Drosophila melanogaster: one gene and its partner. The gene in region 2 interacts genetically with the main gene of each other region. Each region holds a gene or a part of one and is shown on either strand. Other genes may lie near its edges. The genes, in order: Mekk1 and Atf-2.

Evidence for each region.
Region 1: of Atf-2 (region 2) and Mekk1, changing one suppresses a phenotype caused by changing the other (phenotypic suppression), as found in Drosophila melanogaster (one study listed by BioGRID).

Annotation. Positions count from the first base shown.
Region 1 is NT_033777.3:18,741,738-18,745,661, forward strand, and holds the start of Mekk1 (Mekk1), read right to left. Parts: upstream 1,858-3,924; 5' UTR 1,500-1,857; coding exon 1,264-1,499; intron 1-1,263. Other genes in the region: PGS1 (phosphatidylglycerophosphate synthase 1), read right to left, coding at 2,514-2,933, 2,992-3,924.
Region 2 is NT_033778.4:24,868,408-24,872,152, reverse strand, and holds Atf-2 (activating transcription factor-2), read right to left. Parts: upstream 2,046-3,745; 5' UTR 1,944-2,045; coding exon 908-1,943; intron 855-907; coding exon 745-854; 3' UTR 664-744; downstream 1-663. Other genes in the region: CG16896 (uncharacterized protein), read left to right, coding at 1-444, 508-663.

The DNA of each region.
Region 1 (3,924 bases), on a different chromosome or scaffold from region 2:
TAAAGTCAAAAACTTTTTCGTAACCTTTCCTAAAGAATCACTGCTTGTATCTTAGCATATACGATGCTTTAATAAAAAAAAAAACATATGTAATATTATATCTATACGTTGCCATTTTTCCAGCGAACCAATCAACTTATCAATTAACAGGTATTAAAATATAGAGACCAACGAAAAAAAGAGCGAGCAGCAGACACATAAATCTCGGCTAATTTCACTTAGTTGCCATAGAAACAGGTGCCAAAAGAAAATGGATGTTTGTCGCAAATTTCCTGCTAACATACGACAATCATGTTTTCCCGCAAAACGATGAACACTCACCTATCCCATAAAAATCAAATCAAAAAAATGAAGTGTATTATGAATAAGCCCCTGCGCATAAGACACAAAAAAAAAAAACAGCGGAAAACGTATCCGTAATTCTCTCAAGGTGAGCGTGTGTATGTGTTATCAGTCCACCGTCAGCGTTATCAGCAAATATCTTGGAAGACTTGAGGCGGCCCCACACAAAAATATGACTATGATAAATGCCGAAATACTACGAAAAACGACGCAGAGCGAATATAACATGCATTATAAAGAAACTTAGTTTTTGTAATGTAATACCTAGCAATTATTGCTTTTTTATTTGAACACATTAAAATCAGTTTAAAATATTTATGAAGGGTGCTCTCTTGTAAGTGAGAAAACTTGTTGATCACTGAAAACAATCGTTACTGTTACATAAAGGAGCGTTTAGACTTCAAGATTTGGTTTCAATCTCAATCTACTAAAATTTCCACAAAAATTTCTAAATATATTACGTGTTCGACGAGTATGCGTTACACAAATGTGATCCAATTTTTGCAGTGCACCTGTGCAGAATTTTAATTGCGCTGCACACAAAGTGTTTAATTTCAGGCAGAATTCGCAATTTGTTGCTGTTCATTTTTTGTGCCTGTCTTGCAGTTCGCTAAATTCTGGGGTTCGTTGAGCCACCCAGGCCAACAACAAGATAACGTGGTCAAAAAACACGTTGTTTACGTTTAAACAATTAAAACTGGTGAAATGCACAGCGAGAGAGAAGAAATGCGAGAGCGAATGAGAGGGAAACCCCGCAAATATGGCTTTGAGAGCAGAGCCGCGACAGAGATATGTTAAAAGAGGGGGAGAGGAAATGGGAAAGAGAGCGCTTGTTAGTTACGTGCCAATGCAGACTTTCTTGTTTCTGTTTGTGTTGGGAAAAGCCCAGCAATTCGAAAACCGCTGGTGTGCTCTGCTCACCTTGCAACATCCTCCTCGACGCTCTGCTCGCGTCGTAATCGTATGGGCGGAATGGGCGGGATGGGTGGTGTGGGTGGCGTTTCAGCTGTAACGGTACTATGATGCCCATTGCCATTCTCCTCCTCCCTTGCCACCTGCTCCTCTGCATTTGTTGTTGCTGCCGGTGTCTTTTGCAAACGCAAACTCTGCTGCAGCGCCAGATAATCAATTGTTCGCACTCTTCGCCTGTTTGACATTTTTGCAAAACTCTGTTTTTTCTGCTTTTGTTATATTCTTGGAATTTGCTGCTCACACGCACACATGCTCAGCCAGCCGCCAGTGCACAAACACTATCGCAATCCAGCACCAACACACACTTGCACTTTAGTAAGCACGCGCCGCGTTTTTATTTTTCTTTTTGTTTTGCCTTTGGCGATAATCAGATTTATTTTAATTTAACTTTCACGGCGAGCAAACACATAACGTTTAACGCGCTCCCGAACTTGGCACGCAGGTAAGCACTTTGTCGTACGTCTTACCGGGCCAAAAAAAGCAGCTAACTAAAGTCTTCGAGCCACTCAAGTCGCCCGGCGTTTTTGAAGAGTGAAAAAAGAGAGAGCTTTAGAGGTGGCAAAGAAGCGATAATCAAACTGGGACTTTTCGTTCAACAATTGGTTAAAAGCTTAAACTTAGCAGAGTATTTCGAAGAGTTAAATTTTTGCTTAGACTTTGCTCTTAAATTTCTTTTAACAAAATTGGTAAACACATTGAGGACATCTGAAAATAATAATTAAACAAATTGCAACTTTTTTCAACAAAGTTCGAAATACATTCTTGAAAATAGCTAAAAACATTGGTCTATCCGATTATTTCTGCCTCTCCAAAGCGGTAAACCATCGTTAGGCGTCCATCACTATTCACAGATGGGCGGGATATTTAATTTTGAACGCATGATTATTATCAGCACCAAAAATTATTAAAACTAAATGAAAGTACATATAGATAGTACAAATATTTATAACATATGCACTTGATTCTAAAATGATGATCCCCCTGGTGATTAGAACACAGCGTGGTATTTTTCCTTCTGCATGCCCTCGATTCTCTTTATTATTTAACAAACTTTAGCGTGTGTACAAAATCAACAATTACCAGCAATAGAAACACTTGCCCAGGGCAAAGATTAAACACGAATTATAAAACTAAATTAACTACCTGGGATATGGGGCTTAACAAAGAACGAAAAAAATTAAACTACTATATCGAAGAGCCTAGAAGAAATTCCTGAATATGCGAACGACGGCCTGGACCCATCGCGGAACGGGTCGTTGGACGATTTCCCGCTCCGCCGTCTGTGACAGATCGTACAGCCGGTCAGCTTCCGCCTGCAGCCGCTGGCTTAGATCCTTATTAGCCGTCACAAGGCACACCTGTGTCTCCAGATCGCGGTTCACCGATCGCTCGCCAAAGTTCGAAGAGCCGATCAGCGTGAGGTTTGGCAGTATTGCCTCTGGCAGGTAGTACCACAGTCCTTTAGCATGGTACGTCCAGCCGGGCTTTTCGTACTCGAAGAAGTTAACGCGGTGGTTTTGCTTCCGGCGGACCAGGCTCTCGTAGAAACTCTTGGCTATCAGTGTGTAGGCAGCCGGAATTCCGCCCGCTGGTCCTTTGGCACCCTGAAAGCCGTTTGCCTGGAAAATGAATTAAATCGGGTTACTATTGGTCAACTAATTACTGATAGCCACTCACATTTGGATGAGCCATCAGTATGCTGCATTGGGCCAGGCACTTGTGCGTGAGCGTGTCCATGTACTCCTGCGTCAGGTTGAAGTACCCGGTGGCCAGTTTCAGCCGTGATCCAGACAAGCAGTTGGAGAGCAGCCGCTTGGTCACCACGCTGTCGTGATGAATGCCGATCTGGCCCATCTCAAGCAGCGGAAAAATCCATGTGTCTGCCTGCGGATTCTGCTCTTTAGTTCGCGCCTGCCGCTGAAACGTCTCCTGCACTAAATCGGAAATACGTTTACGGGCAAGCTGGATAAACTGCTCCTTGGTGCCCTCGTACGGCAGTATTCGCCAGTTGCGGTGCAGTCCCTCGCTGGCATCTGGCGCCACTGCCAAACTAAACTCTTGAACGCGTTCGATGAACTGCGCATAGAAATCCGCCAACGGTTTGTCCTCAATGAGTATGTATCGATCCTGCCGGTTGGTGAAGTAGTCATTGGACAGATTGGCGCCTGATATGATCACGGCATCGTCGAACAGGTAGACCTTCATGTGCTGTAGTCCGAGAAGCTCATTCCACCGTGGCGGTGCTAGTCGCTTTGTCATCCCGCGCAGATCAGGCGTATGGTACAGGGATAGCTGCACCTGGCTCGCAAAGTCGCGGACCAGGGGTAGCAACATGGTCTTGGAGTTGAGGGTTCCCCGCGTGCCGCGTGTAAAGTCCAACAGCACGTTGAGCCTCAGGGCAGACTGTTGCTCCAGGCTGTGACGCAACGTCTGAACCATTGCGTTCTCCAGTTGCCCAGTGCCCAGGTACAAACTGGCCAGCACTATACGGCGTTTGGCCTGACCGATTCGTTGCACCAGCGTTTCGTAGAAGTGCTTTGGCTCGTGGATGACCTGAATTTGATCGCCTCGCAGCGGGAAGCACGGCGCTAGGTTGTGTAACCAACTTAG
Region 2 (3,745 bases):
AAAATTATGGAACGCCTTGAAACAGGACTTAAGCAAGAGGAGCACGCTCGCCGCCTCAAAGAAATGGAGAGAGTTTACCAGGACACAATCCATCGCGAGGAAGAGCGCATCACCTGCCAACGGAAAATGCTGCTCACCTACCAAATGGAGGTGCGTCGGCGCAAGAGCGAGGTCATCACTAAGTTACAGGAGTCTGAGCAGCGACGCAAAATTCTGGAGATGGAGAAGGACATGGACCTGCTGATGCACAGTATTGAGCGTGAGCGTCGGCGTCACAACCAAGAAATGCAGCTGGCCGAAGATGAAATTCGTAACCAGGAGATGGAGCTCCTTGCCCAGCGCTACTACTCGGATACGGAGGGTGCTCCACTGGCACAGAAGTATTACGACAAAATCCAGAAACTTTGCTATCAGCGTGATCAGCTGCAGAAAAACTTGCGTGATGTATGTGATAAAAGATTTTAGATTGTATTCTGTGATCTCCTAAGTCTACTTTCTTCCGAACAGATGACCATGGAACAGCTGCGAACTCCAGCAACATCATCTGTGCAATTTAGTCCCCAGCTGGTGGATATCGAGAATTCCATTTTTGAGATACAGAGAGAGTTTACGGAAATCATAACCACAGACAAAACATTGGAGTACAGAAGGAATTTAACTTAACTGAGGCTTTTTTGTACGAATAAACTACAAGGCTAGGATTATGTACATGGCACTAGAAAATAAATAAACAAGGCATATTGGTTATTTCTTGGCCGCGCTTGCGTTGCTGGCGGACGAAGGCACTAACACGTTGGGCACATTGATGAGCAAGTGTATACTGGATGGTGGAATCCGCAGCTGGTCGGCCACCACTATAAACGAAAATAAATTAACTTAACTTCAGGAATGGTTTATTAAAGCTTACCGCCAGCTAAGCTGCTGTGACTCCTGTGCTGCTGCAGTTCCTTTTCTAATCTGGAAATTCTTTCGTGCAGTTCTTGATTCTCCTGCTGCAGCTGGGCGTTCTGTTTGATGAGGTCCTTATGCTCGTTTCGCATCTTGTTACGGTAACGAGAGGCTGCTGCTCTTCGTCGCTCCATACAATCCTCGTCCCGACTGCGATCCTTTGCTTTCGCAGCCTTGGGCGGTGTGGAGAAACTTCGTCTGTTATTATTGCTGTGGATAATGGCCTTCAATCGCTCCTTGATGGGCAGCTGTGAGGTGGGCGTCAGACTGGCGCTACTGGGCTCGTTATTAGGTGGGTTGCAACTGACCAAAATAGGCTCGGGTCTTTTACTGGTCTTGTTTAATTCTTTCGCAGTGGGTTTCGGCAGTATGAAGGGATGAATGGCACCAGTCGGCTTCACCCTGTTTCTGTTACAATCAACTGTAGCGATGGAAATGGGAACTGACTGCGCAGGCAGCACCCATGTTAGGACCTGGGGCTGGATCAACTGCAGCGGCGGCGGACCATCTTGACTGGCTTTGGAAGGCGAGGTAACTGTCGTGGCCAGAAGCTGGTCCACATCCATATCGCCGCAGCTGACACTTTGTGGGACCTGATTTTCAGACGGAACTGATACCACGGTGGGGGCCTCGACGGGATACACCTGGGGCGTGTGCAGGGACTCACCGTCATTGGGTCGAGCCTCTGGGCGACTCGGAGTGCCGCTGACATTTCGCTCCGCTGCTTGCTGGAATCCAATGTCAAATGGATTTACGTGCTGCAGGTCCTCGAAGAGACCCACCTCGTCGCAGTTCTTGATGAGTCGCGTAGGCGTGGGCGTTTGGTCGGCGGCAAATAGAGTGTCTGACTTCTGCCCGAGAGAAATGTCTAGCGAAACATGTTCCGTCTGTGCCCGAAAGTTCTGATAGCAGGATACGTCGCCCTCTGGGGATTTTGTCTCAAAGTCGCCGAAGGACACACTGGCCAGGTGATCCATGTCTCCGGCGGTGTCCATGTCAGAAGTTACATCAAAATCATGCTATTTACAAATCAAACTCCATAATCTGCCGACAATTCTCAATTAAAACAACTATTTTGTAAATCACATTAGCAAAACAAAAAATAAAATTGTTATCGATGTATGGATGTGTTATTGAACCTATCGGACTCCATTAAGAAACCAACTCTGGCTGCAGTGCTGGAAAAGGTACTAAGTTCTTCTGCCGTAATTACGATGTAAAATGTATTTTATTACTGGTAGAACAAAGATCATAACGTAGAACTTAAAATAAATCAAATAAATACTGAATAATCTTCATTGTGTAACAAAATAAGTAAAGGAATTTTCAAACCTCGATATAATGTATATTTTATATGTTGTTTACCTTAGCACAGTAGTGATGTGTGCAAACCGATATATCGATACCGCGAGTGGGTGCAAAAAAGGCGCGCGAATGTTTTCAATTTGAATCTGGTTACCAATAAATACTGTGTGTAAAAAATACCCCTCTGTCATGAGACCCTTATTATTCCTAGCCTTTCTGTGTTTGAAGCTGTTATGCAACCACTCTTGACATTCGGCATTTCCGCAACGAAATTGCGTATCTGCCATCGCATCCAAAATGCCAAAATGCGAGTCTTCGGCACGTAGAAGCAATCATATGTGAAGAAGAGGAAGGTAAAGCGAAGAAAAAACATCGAAACATTTTTGGTAGCCAAGAAAACCCCATAATTTAAAATTTGTATCTTTTAAATTAGATTTCTCATTGGAGGAACAAGCAGAAAACAGACAGCGGACAAAACAACACGCAAAATGATTTCAAGCCGCTCGCATTTTGGGAAATATGCACGCAACGAAACGAGCAATTTTCTAAAACTCTGCCGCACAAAAAGCAGCAGACTCGACTTGTGGGTCAAGTTCAGTGCTTAAATTGTTCCCAGCGAGAAGATGGAGGACCCCTTCCGGCCCTCGTCCTCGTTGTTCACCACCACTCCAATCCGCTCCGTTTGCGAGGAGGAAGGGCCGCAAGATGCACAGCATGAAAATTAAGAAAAAGTGATGCGTAATTACAGTCATTCTCTTTCACTGCAGCCAAGCGGGCTATTCCACACAGCCATACCCTTGGCCATGTCCCGATCTCGATCCCATCCCATCCCATTCCATCCCATCCCTGCCACGTTGCATGCAACGGACGCGCGTTTTTCGGACAGCGTGGTCCATGGTCCATGGAGCTATGGGATGGAGATGGGTTCCGATCCTCGGCTCTGGATTCTCGTTTCTCGGACTGCGCTGCTGCCGGTAGAAACAATCAGTTTGAAGTTCGTTCGCATAATTATGGGCAATTTTCAAAGAACATGCGTTCCGATGAACATCTCTCTCTTGCCCGCATTCAAAGTATCCATACCCATCAGCTCCTTTTCCTGCCCCACCGCCACATCCTTTCCATCATCGCACTGCAACCTCGCCATTTTTCTTACTGTCCGTCGGTCTCTGTGGTTAGGATCAAGTGGCTGAGTGCACAAAATTTTTTTCCAAACTTGGAATAGCTTGCGATCAGGCTAAAGTAAAGCTTGAGAACAAATGTTTGAATAAGTTCCATAAGAACTTGAATTTTATTTGAAAAATATGTAATATAAAGGTATAGCAGTCCTCATAGTGATACATTGGTATTTAAGACTTGACCAGATTAACCATTCCATTTTAGCAAAGACACGTTTGGCATGACCCTAGCGTTGGTTACCAACTTGATGATCAGGTTTCTGGCCCTAGGAAATTTGCAAAGGAGTCAAGGACCGCAATTGGCCATAACGGCATGT